2 linked regions of the Caenorhabditis elegans genome follow. The protein of the gene in region 2 interacts with the protein of the main gene of each other region in a biochemical or structural test. Each region holds a gene or a part of one and is shown on either strand. Other genes may lie near its edges.

Region 1 (8,204 bases), on a different chromosome or scaffold from region 2:
TTTGTTAAATATTGTTCTACAATTATCTACAAAAAGAAATTAAGAAAAATTAAAGAATAATAATGTCGCAGTCAAAAATGGAGCTTTTCACTTTTTTTCATTAAAACCATGCCTCGTGTTAAGCCATCCCTTTTGCACCCTTCGAACCTCCTTTTCTTTCCTTTTTCTCCGTTTTTCAGTCTCATTGGATTATTTTGTTAGTCTCTCTTGCTCTGCGAGCACTGCACTTTTTGAATGAGTCGGCTTTCAGACAAAACGATTTTTTTTGAAAATTTCTAGTTTTTCTTGAGATTCCTTTTCAAATTTAATTTTATCCAGTTTCACTTTTTTCAGAAATATAAAAATTGGAATATCAGAAAATCATCAGCTGCTACTTGTTCACTTTTTGTATTATTTGCTTATCTTTATTCTTATTTACTACTTGTTTGTGTAGATCAAAAACAAATTCGAGCAAAAATGAATCATCATGGAATACTTGACAAACAACTCGGTTTTTTTTAAAGGAAAACATTTCCGTTTAGGTTCATAATATTTCAAAAAGTTTAAAAATATCTTCTGAGCTGATTTTTAATAAGTTCAGAGCCAATTTTGAATTTTACGTTTGTCCAGGATAGTTGCTAAAGTTGCTCAAAAAAGTATGCCCACTTTTTTTCGGATTTTTCGGATTTGTTGTATATCAGCTTCTGCACAAAAATGAAAATCGTTGTGCTCATTGTGTCTTATCCACCTCTTGAAATGTCCAACTTATCCAATTTCACCATAACCTTCACTCTATCCTTTCACTATCAAATCTCTTTTTTGTCTTCCAATTTGTCAGTTCCTCTCGTTTCTTTCAATTGATACGGGTTAAAGGATGGGCTTTTGTTTGAACTGTATCAGCTCTCCGTATCCTTATGTTCTTCGACATTATTGACAATTGTATCAGAGATTCGTAAGATTGACTATTTGTGCTTTTCCTCCGCATTGTCTACTACATATAACTCTGAGCAAAAATGAGCAAAAAAGGTGATAGAACCAGTATAAAAAACTATCAGGGATGTAGAAAAAGAGATGGGAATTGTTCAAAATTGTATGTTTTCCGCTAAAACTATGGGCATCAAAAACTACATCTACATCGTTCTATGGTGATAAAACCTTTTAAAATTAGTAAAATTCTACTCTATAGAGTATATATTTAAATTTACATTAAGTTTTTAAAATGAGTCAAATGACTTTTTGAGTTAGACATTCTAAGATCTCGATCACTTTTTACTCAATCACCATGACTTCCCTTTTCTACTTTTTTTTTCATTTCGTGACGCCTTCATTTCAAGAACTCATCCGTTTGCAACCATTATCATTATTTTTATTCTTTTGAATTTTCGTTGAAAATAAGTAAACTTTCATAATCTGAACATGAGTCAGAAGATATCTCTCAAAATCTGGGTTTAATTGCAAAATGATGCTATCAGTTCTTGAGATTAAAAAAATAACGGTGAGGACGAAATTTTGACAAAAATAACAATTTTCATTGAAAATGTTCTTGTTCTATAGAAACGTTAAAAACCATATTGGAAATTTTTAAATTAGGTTTAACAATTTAATAAGTATAATTCAATTTTTTAGCTGACAGAATACATCTAGAAATGTTCATTCTCACAACACTGAAAAAACGAAAAATTATTATTTTTTCTTAAATTTTTATTTTATTTTTTTCCAAGTAGGCGCCGTAATCCTGACCTCGAGTGCCTTACGCCTCAACTTCAAGGCTTGAAATGTTTTTCGAATAAAACCTACGTTATTTGGAAGAAAATTTTTAACTGAAGTATTGAATGTTTAATTGTTTAAAATAGTTTTTAATTAAAATAGCATTGCAATATTTCTTCTCATCATCAAGAAACTTGCGTGATCTCCGTTTTTGAGTTGATCAAACAATGAAAACATTAAATAATATGCTTTGAAGCTATTTCCCTCGTGAATGCCACACCTAGACAATTTTAAGAGTATCGATGCATGTTTCCTCGAAATTTTTCATGATGAAAACAGTTCAAACAACAAATGTATTTTTTATCTCAGTCGATTTTTGAAATATTTCTTCTTTCCCTAAATCTGAAAAGGTACAATGCCCAATGTTGTATTCCTGCTTCATGTTCTGGTGCACAAAGAGCATCTTAGTACCGCCCACATTGTTCAAATAGATACCCACACACAGACAGCCGAATACCTCATCTTTTCGTGGCCTTTTGGAAAATTGCGTTCCAATCTCGTGACATGGACTTGATTAATAAATATAAAATCAGCTTCTTCCTAAATTGTTAAAATATAAAATAAGCTTCCGTTTTTCTTCTTGTTCTCTATTCTTCTTACCCTCTCATAATTCTTTTTTCTTCCGTTTGCTCTATATAAATTAAAATCCAATTAATTTAATACCAAAGGGAGTTCCAAAGTATAACACAAGCCTCCGCCCACCCGTGAGTGTTCAGGTGTTGTATAGTATAGATCACATTTTTAAAAGTTCTCTTTCGCATTTATTTTTTCGTTGGTTTTGATTTTAAAGATGACTTGAATTGTTATCTTATCTATTTTCGGTCTCTAACCACGGCCATACAACCAAAATAATGACGACAATTAATTGTAAGCTGATTATTTATGGAATCAACTAGAAGTATTCATTGATTTTACTGTTTCAGCGTTTTTGTTTTCAACTTAATCACGTCTATATATAACTTTTTGAAATTATTTAAATTTTATTTTCTTAACTTTTGAATTTAGTTCATTTATTTTAATGCCATTATTTAGAACTTGTAAGCTCCTAGACAAATAAATCATATATTTTAAACTATAGTTGTTATAAACTCATGGTATTATAGTTTTGTTTTTCAGTATGGAACATGCGACGTAGTATAAAATTCAAAAAAAAATTTAATTTCAAATTCAAGCTCATTTTTCCTTTCTATATTAAAAAATTTTTAAAAAACAATTTCCTAATTTTCTACAATTCTAAAGTGGTTCATTACTTTTTTTTAAATATCACCTGCTTTTAATACACATTTTTTGGAACAATTTTTCTTTGTAAATAACTTTTTACTTTACGTTTTTGAAAACATTCTCGATCTCCAAATCTTCCAATAAAAATCCAATTAAATTTCAGCCATTTACTACGTCACCGAACACCTTCTAAGATGACGTCAGCCTCATTGGCAGGCATATCAATATCGCCAATTGTGCCGGAAGAACTCGACGGCACAATAGCACCAATTGGAACACAACCAATGGACATCACATTAGCATTTGTGTTTTCTGCGATTTCAGTCATTGGAGTACTTGGAAACCTTTTAGTAATTACAGTTGTACTTAAAGTTAGAGGAATGGTAATAGTTGGAGTACAAATTGATCAAAATATTAATTAAAAAATTACAGAAAACACCAACTAATTGCTATTTAGTATCATTGGCCGCCAGTGACACATTATTCTTTTTTGCTTCAATGCCTCATGAAATGATGTATTTATTGGGTCCAAATGATCATTATTTATTTGGAAGTTTAGGTAATTACTTTTGGTTTTTTTGTAGAAAATTTTTGAAATTGGCTGTGAGCATTACGTACTTGAGATATTTCTTAATGATATGAGTCAGACTTGTGCTCGCTTCTTTCATTTTTGATTTCCTTTTGATTTATTTGCTGGTCAGGCTCTTATCAGAGAAGAGATTGATTACAGTAGTGAGTGGGCTTGTTTCCAAAAATAGAGATGTTTTCCATTTTGGATTCACTAAAATTATTTTCAGGTTGTGTACTTCTAACCTATCTTCCATATCTTGCAATGAACACTTCAAGTCTGTCTATTTTAGCGTTCACAATTGAACGGTATTATGGTATTTGTAATCCATATAAAGCCAGGTGAGAAAGTTTTGTTTTTTATTTTTTACTATACAGTCAGTTTCACTCAATTAATTTCCACATTATCAGTAACCGAGTGTGCACTAGAGCACATTTATAAAATCTTCTCTAAAGTTAGCTAAACTTGTTTAAGAAATTGCTAAAGTTGGTTGAGATGTTTCTGTGAGAAAATTCCCGGCTATTTTTGGTAAATTCCTGGCAACATCTAACCAATAATTAGCCCACGTTTTATTGAAAGTCAGAGTGATCCATCATAGTTTAAGGCAAAAAAGGTCTTGAAGCTTCACCAAATGTTGTAAATCCAACCTCGACTGTCTCACCTAAATTTAACACAAGTTCCAACTAGGTGTTGCACATTTATTAAACGCACAAAAATATAGTGCATCGTCATCCAAAAGTTTTGCGAGCATTTCATTCAAGTTTATATTTTGGGGCTAATCTTACGGATAAGTAACCGATTACTTACGAGATTTAACCTTTCCAATAATTTGCATCACTTCTTTTTCCTACAACCCAAAATCAATAAAAAACAATATTCCAGAACCATGTGCACTGTTAAACGCGCAACGTGTATTATCTGTGGTATCTGGATCTTCTCAATGCTGTATCATTCCTATTGGCTTTTCTTGGCTACGTTAATCAAAGATGATATTGGAACATCTTGTAGTTTTCGGTTGGAAAGAAATAGTCATGCTTACAAGGTAAACGATATTATATTTCAGTTTTTTTGTTTTCCACTTTTAACTTTATCCATGTCAATTTATAAATAGAATAACTTTATAATTTTTACTTTTTCAGATAGTTTTCCTTCTTGATTTCGTCCTGTGGTACGTGCTTCCAATTATGTGCGACATCATTATCTACGCAAAAATCGGTATCACTTTGAGTCAATGTGGAGATAAGATTAAGAAATCGGTGAAGCCGAAAAGTAACATAACTACTAATAATTCTCATCACAAAACAATGAGGTTTAGAAATTTCAGTACCAAATGAAGTGATCGTCGAAAAATCAAAGACATCGTCGACTTCAATGGGACATTATTCCGGAAGAGATTCTCATATTTCGGGGAAACGGAACTCGGCAAAAGGAAGAAATCAGGTGGGATCAAGTTTATAATCCTCCCTTTTTATTTATTTACTTTCCCAAATGTTCTTGGATTTGTGGTGTGAGGGTTCACAATTTTTTTTGGAAAAAAACTGAACAAATAAAATAACATTTTCAGGTTGTAAAAATGCTTGCAATCGTTGTGGCCGTCTTCGCAGTGTGTTGGCTTCCTTATCGTGGAATGGTTGTCTATAATTCATTTGTATCGGATCCAAAGTATTCATGGAGTCCTGATTGGTATATCAATTTGTCAAAGACACTTGTATTCATCAACTGTGCTATTAATCCAATACTATACAACTTGATGTCTGCTAGATTCCGTGCTGCATTCAGATCGTTGTTATCGAAAAGAAAGAATTCCGGATTTAAATGTGAGTTTTTAGTTTGACCAGCTAAATGGGTATTTTTTTAAAGAAAATTATTGGTAATTAAAATCAATAATTTCGATTCAGTGTGATCCCACTTAAATTTTATACATTGTTTTTAAAAGAAATGTGTCCACAGTTTAAATAATTGATCACTTTTTAGAACATTTCAAGAAAAACGTATTTCATGTTCCAAAAATGGTAATTTTCAACCAGCTCGTGCCTTTGCACCGACGAAACTTATCAGCTACCATACTCACAAGTATTGTGCATTTTCCGCTTACTCTTCTCAGTTTACTTGAGCTTTTTATCAGAAAGTTAAAGAAAATGTGTGGTATAAACTGATAAAAGTCTACTTTCGGTTACAGTAATTTTGCTCGTAGACTCAAAGCTGTGATTCGAAAAATTTATCTTTTTGATCAAAAACTTTGATTATGACAAACCTGATACATTTTCAGCAACAGCTTTGAACCAACGTCACCGATTAAACACAATGGATATAATGTCATCAGCTGAACCAAAATCTCCATTAATAACATCAATGGCTGGAACTCCGTGATACATTTCTCTTATTCCTTCAAATTATCTCCTTCTCATCATAGTGTTGCCTTTAATTTTTATTTATGGGTTCAAATTTCGCCAATTTTTAAATAATTATGTACAGTATGTTTTTTTCTCCCTGAACTTCTCATCATTTTACAACCGGGTAAAAGCACATTTTAAGAAAACCGCCTTCTCTGAAAAGTCACACATGTTTTATTTTATTTTTGTCTGTTTTATCATATTTGATAAAAGAATATTATTTTTTATTATATAAAAATCAATTATTTTTATTTGTTTTTTTTAATTTACAATTGGAAAAAAGGTGAAATGTTCTACAAAAACCAGTATATAGAAAATGGAAAGAAAACATTCGAAAATTGTGAGAAATTTTGGAATCTCCCATTATTTCTCACACAGAATATAAAGTTGGATGGCTGAAAGATCTAAAAAAATATATGTAAAATTTTGAGAAATTAAAATATTTTGTTAATAGATAAGTTCTTCACGTGTCTGCGTCTCTTGTTTCCTTCGTGGATCCAAGAAGTGTGGGTCATTTCCAGATGAATATGATGGAGATAATGGAGGTGGAGGTGCTCCATTCGGAGCAAGACGAGCACGTGGAACTGTAAATAATAGTATAATGGAAAATAAAATTTCAGAAAACTAAAAATGAAATATTTTTTATTAAACAGAAAATGTGTCAAATGGGTTTTGATTTAAAATTATTCAGTTTTTCCTTACTTTTAAGGTTTTTACTGAAAGTTTCCAGAAAGCTTCCCTCTTAAGGAACAATGCTACTAGAAGAAGAAGAAGCTAGAAGTGAAAAATGCATTCATTGTTTTGTTACATTTTTTTTCAACGTGAAAAGAAACTCAAAACATTATTGCGGAATTCTCAAGGGTTTCCACTTTTTTTACAAAATAAGTTGTATATTTTGCTGATGGATATTATTTTTTGATATTTCCAAAACATGTTTAAAAATAAACTAACTAGTTCCATAAGTCGGGTCAATTGGTGGAAGTGGTGAATATAGAGGATGTCCTATTCTCGGTTCATCAATTGGTAGTTGTCCCATTGAACCATTTTCATAATCTTTCTGTCCTTTTCTATTTGTGTCAACTCGATATCTGTATGTTGAGTTTGGAGTATGTGGTACGGTTGTTCCTGGTGGTGGTGGGTATGGTAGAGGACTTCCAGAGTATGGGGTTGAGTAGATTGCATCGTGGTGACGTGGATTCAACGTGCTGGAATAGAATTATTATCGGGCTGGTAAGTTTGTAGGTTAACCAAGACCAAAGTTTTAGTCAGTAAATCGTCAAAAACCTTACACAAATCCGCCTTTCACTACTTGGAGATCTGCTTTATACAAGTGGAGCAAGCTAGGAAACATGGATGTAAAAGAAAATTATTTGAACAAGAGGAAAACAAGTATTGACTTCAAAAACCGAAAAAAATTTAAAAAAATAAAAGAAATCCAAAATTGTTTTTTGGTTTTAACGTTAGGAAATTAATGACATCATGGACTTGTGTTGTTGAAAAAGGAATTCAATTCCGGACGACCAGGGAAACAGTCATTTTTAGGTTACACCGTAAATTCGCATCCCTAATACCGAGCAAATTTTTAATTTGAAACTTACGAAGGTGGAGTGATAACGTAGAGAGGCTCAATAGACTTGTAAGTTGCTGGTTTCGTAACTTCGTACTTTTCCTGAAAACAATTGATATTTGTCATTCAAATTTCTCTTTGATCATTGGCGTCTTTCATTTTTTCCCGTTAAAATTGATCGTTTGAAAAGTGACAGGATATCAAAAAAGAACAAGAAGGTCTTTTTTAATGTGACGCCCCAAATCCCTCTTTTATTTCATGTCTAATAAATACCCAATCCACAGAGACACCTTCCTACACATACATTTGACCCACAACCAATAAGAAACAGTTTGATTGGCTTGGGAAAATTGTAATTAAGTGGAAGAGAAGATTTGACGGAGAAAAGGTGTTAATGGAAGGTTTTATGATATACAGAGTTTTAGGATTACATAATATTAATATAGCAGGAACAATGTTAAAAGTATTCATTTTAGCTTTTAGAGTTCCTATGTTTTAGGTTTTGACAATATCTAACGGCGATAGTTTTGCTTTCAGAAGATTTGAAACCAACTTACTTTCTTATTTTTACGACAACAGCAGAAACATTTGGCACAGATCATTGAGAGAAGAATTGAAACAAGACAAAGCACAAGGAGCACAGCAACAATAAGTCCAATCACTGGCTGAAAATGCACATTACAGTTACAAGCAAAAAGAATAATCAAAA
Region 2 (7,245 bases):
AATAGGCTAAAGACCTGAATTCATATTTGTGTTGATTTCTTCTGTAGAGAGGAAGTTTTTAGTTGTCAAAGAACATAATTCGTACTAAAAGCTAGAGAAAAAGTTTCATATTTTTTATGGAGAACATTCTGTTTAAAACAAATCCGCTATAAGATTAATTTTGGAGAGTTAACCCTTTAAAAATTTTTTTTAAATTTTATAAATTTCAATTAAAGTTTTTTTTTTCAATTTTTAATGTAAGATTTTTATTAGTCCTAAAAAGTTACTACATATAATAGCGGTTTTTATTAAGTAGATTAACATTTTTTTTAAGAACTCTAAGAAAAAAAAGACGAAAACGGAATTAAATTTACAAGTTTGCAATATGAAAGGGTACTTGTTGTATCCCCGCCATTTTAAAATTAAGTTATGTAAAATAAAAACATGCGGAGTAGTACGAGCAAACGAGCAAATAATTTAATCGACATCTTCCTATGTAAAAAAAAAACAACGTGAAACCTACCCAAAAACGTGGAAAAGTAGTACAATAAAAGTAAGCAGTCTTTGATTTTGCAGCGGTGGCATCAACATTACCAGAAGCTGCATCTTGTTCTTCTTCTCCTCCACCAGCTTCTTACTTCTCCTACTTCTCATCCCTTCAGCTGCCAACAGCTTTTTCGTCTTTCTTGTCCTCTCGTTTTTTGACTGCTGTCCTCTCATCTTCTCCCGCCCCTTCCATCTGATGACCGGAGGGCTAGTTCTGTGTCGGATTCTCTGATTCTCTGGGATTAATACGGTATTTTGGGCTACCCATGCTTCATGAAATATTCATTGCGTAATGTTCAGTTTCTCCACTTCCCTTTTCACTTTCGTTTTCAACCTTTTTTTAATTGAAAGCGAATTTTGTTCTGCTTTTTTGTAAATCTATTGAAAAACTAAAAGAGTGGAAGGTTGTGCGAATGAGTTATTTTCAGATATTCCATAAATCGAGGCAAGTGCCTTTACTCCCTCGTTTTTTGATCTAGAAACAGTATTGTGTTCAACTTTTTACTTGAGCATCTCAAGTTGAGATGAGCGTAGAATCGAGGTGGGTCAGTTTGAGCCGTTGAATTTTTGACGTTTTCATAGAATTCATGGTGATTTTTACTGTACGTGAAGTAAATTGTAACTTTTTTCAGTTTATGATACACTTGCATGCCTGGATGCCACACTGGGGTAAACTTTGCAGCCGTTTAAATAACCTCTTGCTTATTGACTCGCTTCAAAACCATATGCTTATCAAAACCAGAAAGCTTTTAAGCCGTTTAACAAAAGCTATTTTGTCAGCTATCCAAATGTAATTGTTTTCAACAAAATTCAAATCTGGCGGGCATTACAAAACATCCGTTGCTTCAAAAGTCCGGTGTAAACAAGCATACAGACATACAAAATATATTACAGCTTAATGATCTATATCCCCATCGCGCCCTTCTTTTTTCTTTCGGTTGCAGAACACTCATTTAAAGATAGATACACACATTTGGATAGATACGATCAGTGGACTACGTAGCCACACCATGGTTTTCACTTTTTCAGTGAAATAAATACATTCAGACGTAACGGAGGCTTAATTACATAGTTTAAATTAAAATAAAAGAGTTGCTAAAGAAAATCTGGGATCTAGAACCTATTTCTAAAAAAAATTTTAAAAATTTAGATGGTTTTATAATAATATAAAATTTCAATGTGAGGTCTCGAAGGATTATGAAAAAAAGTTCATGAACTGCTTTGAAATATAGGCCAGCTTGCTAAAACAACCATTGTAGCAGTCGGTTTTACTATTAATCAAGTCAAAACATTTTTTTACTTTTAATTCGTGATTAAGAAAATTATTCACAAGCCCATTTATTTCAAGTCGAGAAGTTATTACCAAAAAGTATAAAATAATTAATTGAAATATTTGGTTCGTTTCGCCGCATCGCAATGTTAAAAATATATAGAAAAAATGATATTAAAAATAAATACACACACACAAAAAGGGAGAGAGCAAATTTCAAGAAATAATTTTAACCGAAAAGTTCATTGGCACGTCGTCGGAATCTGCTCTCGTACATCACAGTTTCATCTGGATACTCAATTGGGAGAGATCGTTTTCCTGAAAAAAATTAATATTGATCTTCCTATAATTCCATATTCAGACAGAAAGTATTTCTCTCAAAAGTGTATCTATTCCGTAAATTGTGTAAAAGTGTAATCATGATCTCCGCGACCTTTTCCAGCCTATTCTATTGAAAACTGCCAGTGAAATCTGATCTAGCTCGAATTTCCAACTAGGAGAACATTTTCGCGCCTTTCTTGGAAAGGGAGATTTTATGAACTCCAAGTCATATTATAAATTGATTCGGAAATTTTTTAGAAAGAAAAGTGAATGGATGGCAGTGATTAAAATTTTTGTATTTAACAAGATGTGAAAGCTGCAACAATCAGTTTCACATATTTATGTAACATGCAGTATTTTTTTAGTTTTATAAATGAAAGTACACTATTTCTTACCGAAAAGTTCTCGTCCTCTTCTCTTGTTAAACATACTTGCACGTTTCAGAAGTCTCCTGGATGCATCGATTGAGTCCACTAAAAGTTAATTATTGTTGAAAGTAAAAATACCAAAAAGTGAATTGTTCAAGAATGTCAAAAAAAAAGATTCGCAATGATTCAAGCAAAATAAATAATTTATTTTTGATGGTGTTTTTCGATGTTTTTGGAACATTTGAGCTGAATGAGGAAGTATGCATGTTTTTGAGTGTCTAAACAAATTCAACAACATTTGGTAAAATACTTCAAGTGAATATGAAAATATGTATATTTGTCTTTCTCTTTTAGGACAAATTTTAAAATTGATTTTTCAAACTGCATAATAAATTCAGGTTGTTATACCTAAACAAGCTCAAGATCTTTAACCTCAAGTCTACCCGAGCTACAAAATATTTTTTAGTTTACCAAATCATCATAAATTCGCCAGTTTTTAGTTTTCCAAATCATCATAAATTCGCCAAAAATTTTTATTTTGAGAAATCTCACATTGATTAGGCATTACACGGAACGCTCTTAAATTCATCGGCTCCTCTTCGTCGAACCACATGGGTGAGGCGGCAACAATTGAGCATAGGGCTGAAAATTGTATGTTGGGGAAATAATGAAGATATGGGAATGATTCATATATTTCAAGTTTATCAATTTTTCATTTTGAGGTTCTCTCGCAGTCCCCTCGTGTTTTTTTCTTTTAAACATATATCAGCCAAGATAATTTACACGTGGCAAACATTGATACATATACCTATTTTTCAATCTGATCATATTAAGAAGTTACGGGAATACATGTTCTTTATTTTTAGAATCCAATGAATCCAATGAAAACAAATCTAACCCAATTATGCTTCTTAACATTTAACGTCATCAAAATATTCAGTATCGAAGTATAAATAGAGTGCGAAGCAAAACAAAAGTTTAAAACCGGATATGCGGTCATCTGGTATTTACTAGTAATCTTTCAAAAAGCAAAAGATCAAGCGATGGTAATTCAATCCAGTTCCTTATCTAAGTCTGACTTAAATGCAAGGTTTCAACTTAGAATCAATGTGAAGTCTGGGAAAATGTCAATGAACTCAAACGAAGCAAAATTTAAACAACAAATTGGACTGTAATCCATTTTTTCAAAAATTTAATTTATGGTATTGAGTTCGAGGAAATTTAAACAATTGAATATATGAATAGATCTCTATAATACCAAAAGAACATTTTAGTTACTCACCAAAAAGTAGCAGAACAACTGAGTAGTTCATCATTTTCGCTGTAGTGGGCAGAAAATAATTTGGTAAGCACACAACCACCAATAGAAGGCGTGCGCTTGAAAGTGAGAATGAATCTCATCGTTGCGGACCCTAAAAGATATATCACAGGGCGCGCGAGAAGCCACGCCTACCTATCACATTTCCAAACAGACCGCCCGTTTTTGAGAGCTCTCATCAAAATGGTGACGAAATAATTAGGGGAAGTGGAGGCGTTTGAGGATTGTTGGGCGATGTGAAAAGTATCGGTTACTTTGAGAAATGATGAGGTTGGTTTTTGGAAAGATGGATGAGACTGCTGCTGAGATAACGTCATATGGAACGTCATATATGGTTTGTAACGGAAGTTTTAAAATTTTAGAGAACTGAAAAAAAATGAAGCGTTCTCATATTTGCTGTAAACAATTGCAACAACTGTCAAAATTCCAAAAATAGACAATAGAAATGGTCAGCTGTGAAATATCGAATATCTGAAAATGAATATTCATTCACGGAAGCCATGAAAACTACTGCATTGAAAAATGTTACAGAGTAGTCATAAGTTATTTTTAAGAAGAGGTCGTCTTTTTTTTGTACTCTAGTTGACAAATTCTACCAATAAATAAATATAGATAAAAGGGGGGAAATTGTTTTTAAATGTAGTATTTGAGCTCAAACATTCATTCATTGCAAGGGAAAAAACGGGAAAATCCGTTAACACTCAGCATTTTTGAAAAATTGACAAGTTTCTGAAAGTGGAAATGAATTATATTCCACGACATGGCCATTTTAGGTCAGCAGAATATTCATTCAAATTTCCTATGTTAAAACATTATTGATTTTTTTTATCAGACAGTTTAAGAAAACTGAGAGAAAGGAATTGTCTAAAGTATTTATTAAAAATACAATACAAAATATAATAAAAACTTGAACGATCGTCATGACCTGGGATTTTTAAAGTCAAATTTCAAAGGTTTTTTTGTCGACAAAGCTCTCTCCCGTCACGCATCGCGCGAGTGGAATGCCTGATTTTAATAGTATAAATGTAAATAGCAATTTGCGTTTACAACATCTAGCGGCAATGAATGATCTTGAACATTGACAATTGACAGGAGCCTCGAAAAAAATTCCGAGATAATCCATAAGCAAGTCACGTTGTATTCAACTGATTTTAATAGATAAATAGTGTAAAAATTCTAGCAATCGGCAAATAGAACTTGTTGAATTAAACACACGTGACTAATTCCTATTTTTTGTTTTCTATTATATCATTTCTATATTTCATTTCTCGGTTCGACGCTTCTTTTCTTGATTTTTGTACAGTTCCTAGCTAACAGAAGGTGAGTAACACTTTGATTGAAAAAGAATGTCTTTAAACGAGACCATTTAATATTATACCGCTTTTTTGATTTAGAACTTGCTGAATTAATTAACAAAAACAAAATACAGAACGGATAATCTGTTTACAACATTTCTAATTAGGTGTTTTCGGGACGCCTTTTTTTAAAGCATAAGAACACTTGCCCTTCCTCTGCTAACAGAGCGTTTCTATGTGTTTACTCAACGTTTTTTCACCAACAAAAACATTTCCCGTAAACGCATTAATACCACTTTTACAAAAATAAACATAGTTTTTCTAGCAGTGCACCTTTCTTGCAAAAGTGCAACAATTTTACGACATACTACTTTTTTTTAACGGATAGTTGGACGAACCAAAGTTCAACTTTCTGTAATGACCTAGTCTACAAAGCAAACTTTACATAATTAGTTGAATGGTAAGTGTACCGTTTTTTTAAAAATAATTTCGTTTCGAATCTAGAACTATCCGGAACAGAGCCATACCGTCGTTTTCGCATAATTCTTGCCAAGTTCCTCTTGAAAACCGGATAAAGTGCGGGCGCCCGTTGCCCATTTCCTATTCCTCCCACCCCAATCCACTGATATTTGATATCTTATTTGTACCTCTAAACTCTCTTCCATTTACCCACACTCTCAATCTTTCCATATTTTTCTTTCACTATCTGCTGCTTTTAGTGGACTGTCCACTTTTATTTGACTTCCGTTTCTTATATTGGCAAGTTGAACACATTTTTACACTGAAATTTCAATTTCTTTAACGTAAAAAGTACAGATCGAGAACTTTATTCTGGTTTTTAAAATACCTGTTTTCCATCGCTCTTTCCTAAGTTTTTATTAAATTACAGTTTCAAAATAATACTCTACATAAAATGATGTCCGAAGGTCCTGTTATGTTCGATACAGTACTCTATGGTGTTATCTCAGTCACGGTTGTCTCATTATTATCCTTGGGTGGTGCATGCATTGGCCCACTAATGACAAAAGATGCAAAACATCGGTGAGCTTGGGTTGGAGTTGAAACTGTATTTATTGCCAAATTTTAAGATGGCTACATTTTTTTTTGGCAATGGCCGTGTCTACACTGAGTTCGGATGCAATTCTACATATAATTCCGCAGGTGAAATTACTAATGATTCAAAAATAATGCCCTGACTTTTTCGCACGCTAAAGTTTTCTTGCATTTAAAGGATTAAAGTTTCCAAAATATAAATTAAGTGAAAAAGTTTTGATTTTAGGTTGTCGGCGTCCATGATCATGGGCACAATCACGGACATAGCCATGAACATCATCATGAGCATACAGATTTGGAAAATGGAACATCAGGACACGGGCATAGTCATCACCATGATGATAGTGACCGCATTATGGTGAGATATCATTTAAAATAGTATCTTTGCATTTCTAGAATTTTCGAAAAAAATTTGAAATTTTTCTGAACGAAAACATTTTAACTGAAATTAATTTGGAATAAACATATTTCAGTGGTATACCGTCACACCTGCTCGTAAAAATCTTCTTCGTCTTTCTGTTATTGTTCTCTCCATCTACATTCTCTACTTTGTAGAGTTTTTCATGTTCTACAGAAAGACCCATCTCGTGAGTTTCATCCCAAAACCTTTTGCCACAACTTTACCTTTGTAGCACTACTGTTCCCCTTCTACAAAGTCGCCAGTTATTACATCTTCAGTTTCCACACACTCTGACATCAAATCTTCAGCTTCAAATCATAGTATAACTGGTAGCGAAGAAGATAATAATAATGATTCATCGAAAAAAGAAAGAAGAAATAGTGTTGAGTTGGAGAAGCGCAGAGAGCAAGGAGGACACGAGCTGATCAGTTTAAGAGAGGATGGTGATGATGATGGTACAGAGATTTGCGGACTGAAAGTGAGTTTTATTTGAAATAGTTGGACGGTACTACAACGACAATTCCAGCCCCGAGCATTGATAATTTTATTCGGTGATGGTGTACACAATTTGGTCGATGGTCTTGCAATGGGAGCTTCATTCATGATTTCCGTGAAACTCGGATTCATAACAACCATCGCAGTAATTTGTCACGAACTTCCTCATGAAATTGGAGATCTGGCGGTGCTCATAGATT

What was found. Proteins that work in one complex are often made in the same cells at the same time.
Region 1: the proteins of trh-1 (region 2) and trhr-1 interact in a test that uses a peptide from one of them, tested with the Caenorhabditis elegans proteins (one large-scale study listed by BioGRID).

What each region holds. Positions count from the first base shown.
Region 1 is NC_003279.8:6,985,937-6,994,140, forward strand, and holds trhr-1 (Thyrotropin-releasing hormone receptor), read left to right. Parts: upstream 1-3,130; 5' UTR 3,131-3,161; coding exon 3,162-3,350; intron 3,351-3,399; coding exon 3,400-3,526; intron 3,527-3,764; coding exon 3,765-3,876; intron 3,877-4,417; coding exon 4,418-4,577; intron 4,578-4,674; coding exon 4,675-4,804; intron 4,805-4,859; coding exon 4,860-4,975; intron 4,976-5,099; coding exon 5,100-5,352; intron 5,353-5,804; coding exon 5,805-5,905; 3' UTR 5,906-6,172; downstream 6,173-8,204. Other genes in the region: C30F12.5 (AbLIM_anchor domain-containing protein), read right to left, coding at 6,376-6,512, 6,880-7,133, 7,527-7,597, 8,053-8,160.
Region 2 is NC_003282.8:17,365,223-17,372,467, reverse strand, and holds trh-1 (THR-like peptide hormone), read right to left. Parts: upstream 3,861-7,245; 5' UTR 3,801-3,860; coding exon 3,767-3,800; intron 3,127-3,766; coding exon 3,037-3,126; intron 2,590-3,036; coding exon 2,512-2,589; intron 2,114-2,511; coding exon 2,025-2,113; 3' UTR 1,850-2,024; downstream 1-1,849. Other genes in the region: C30H6.5 (Apple domain-containing protein), read right to left, coding at 503-699; zipt-17 (Zrt (ZRT), Irt- (IRT-) like Protein Transporter), read left to right, coding at 6,011-6,138, 6,186-6,258, 6,377-6,508, 6,624-6,737, 6,783-7,028, 7,077-7,245.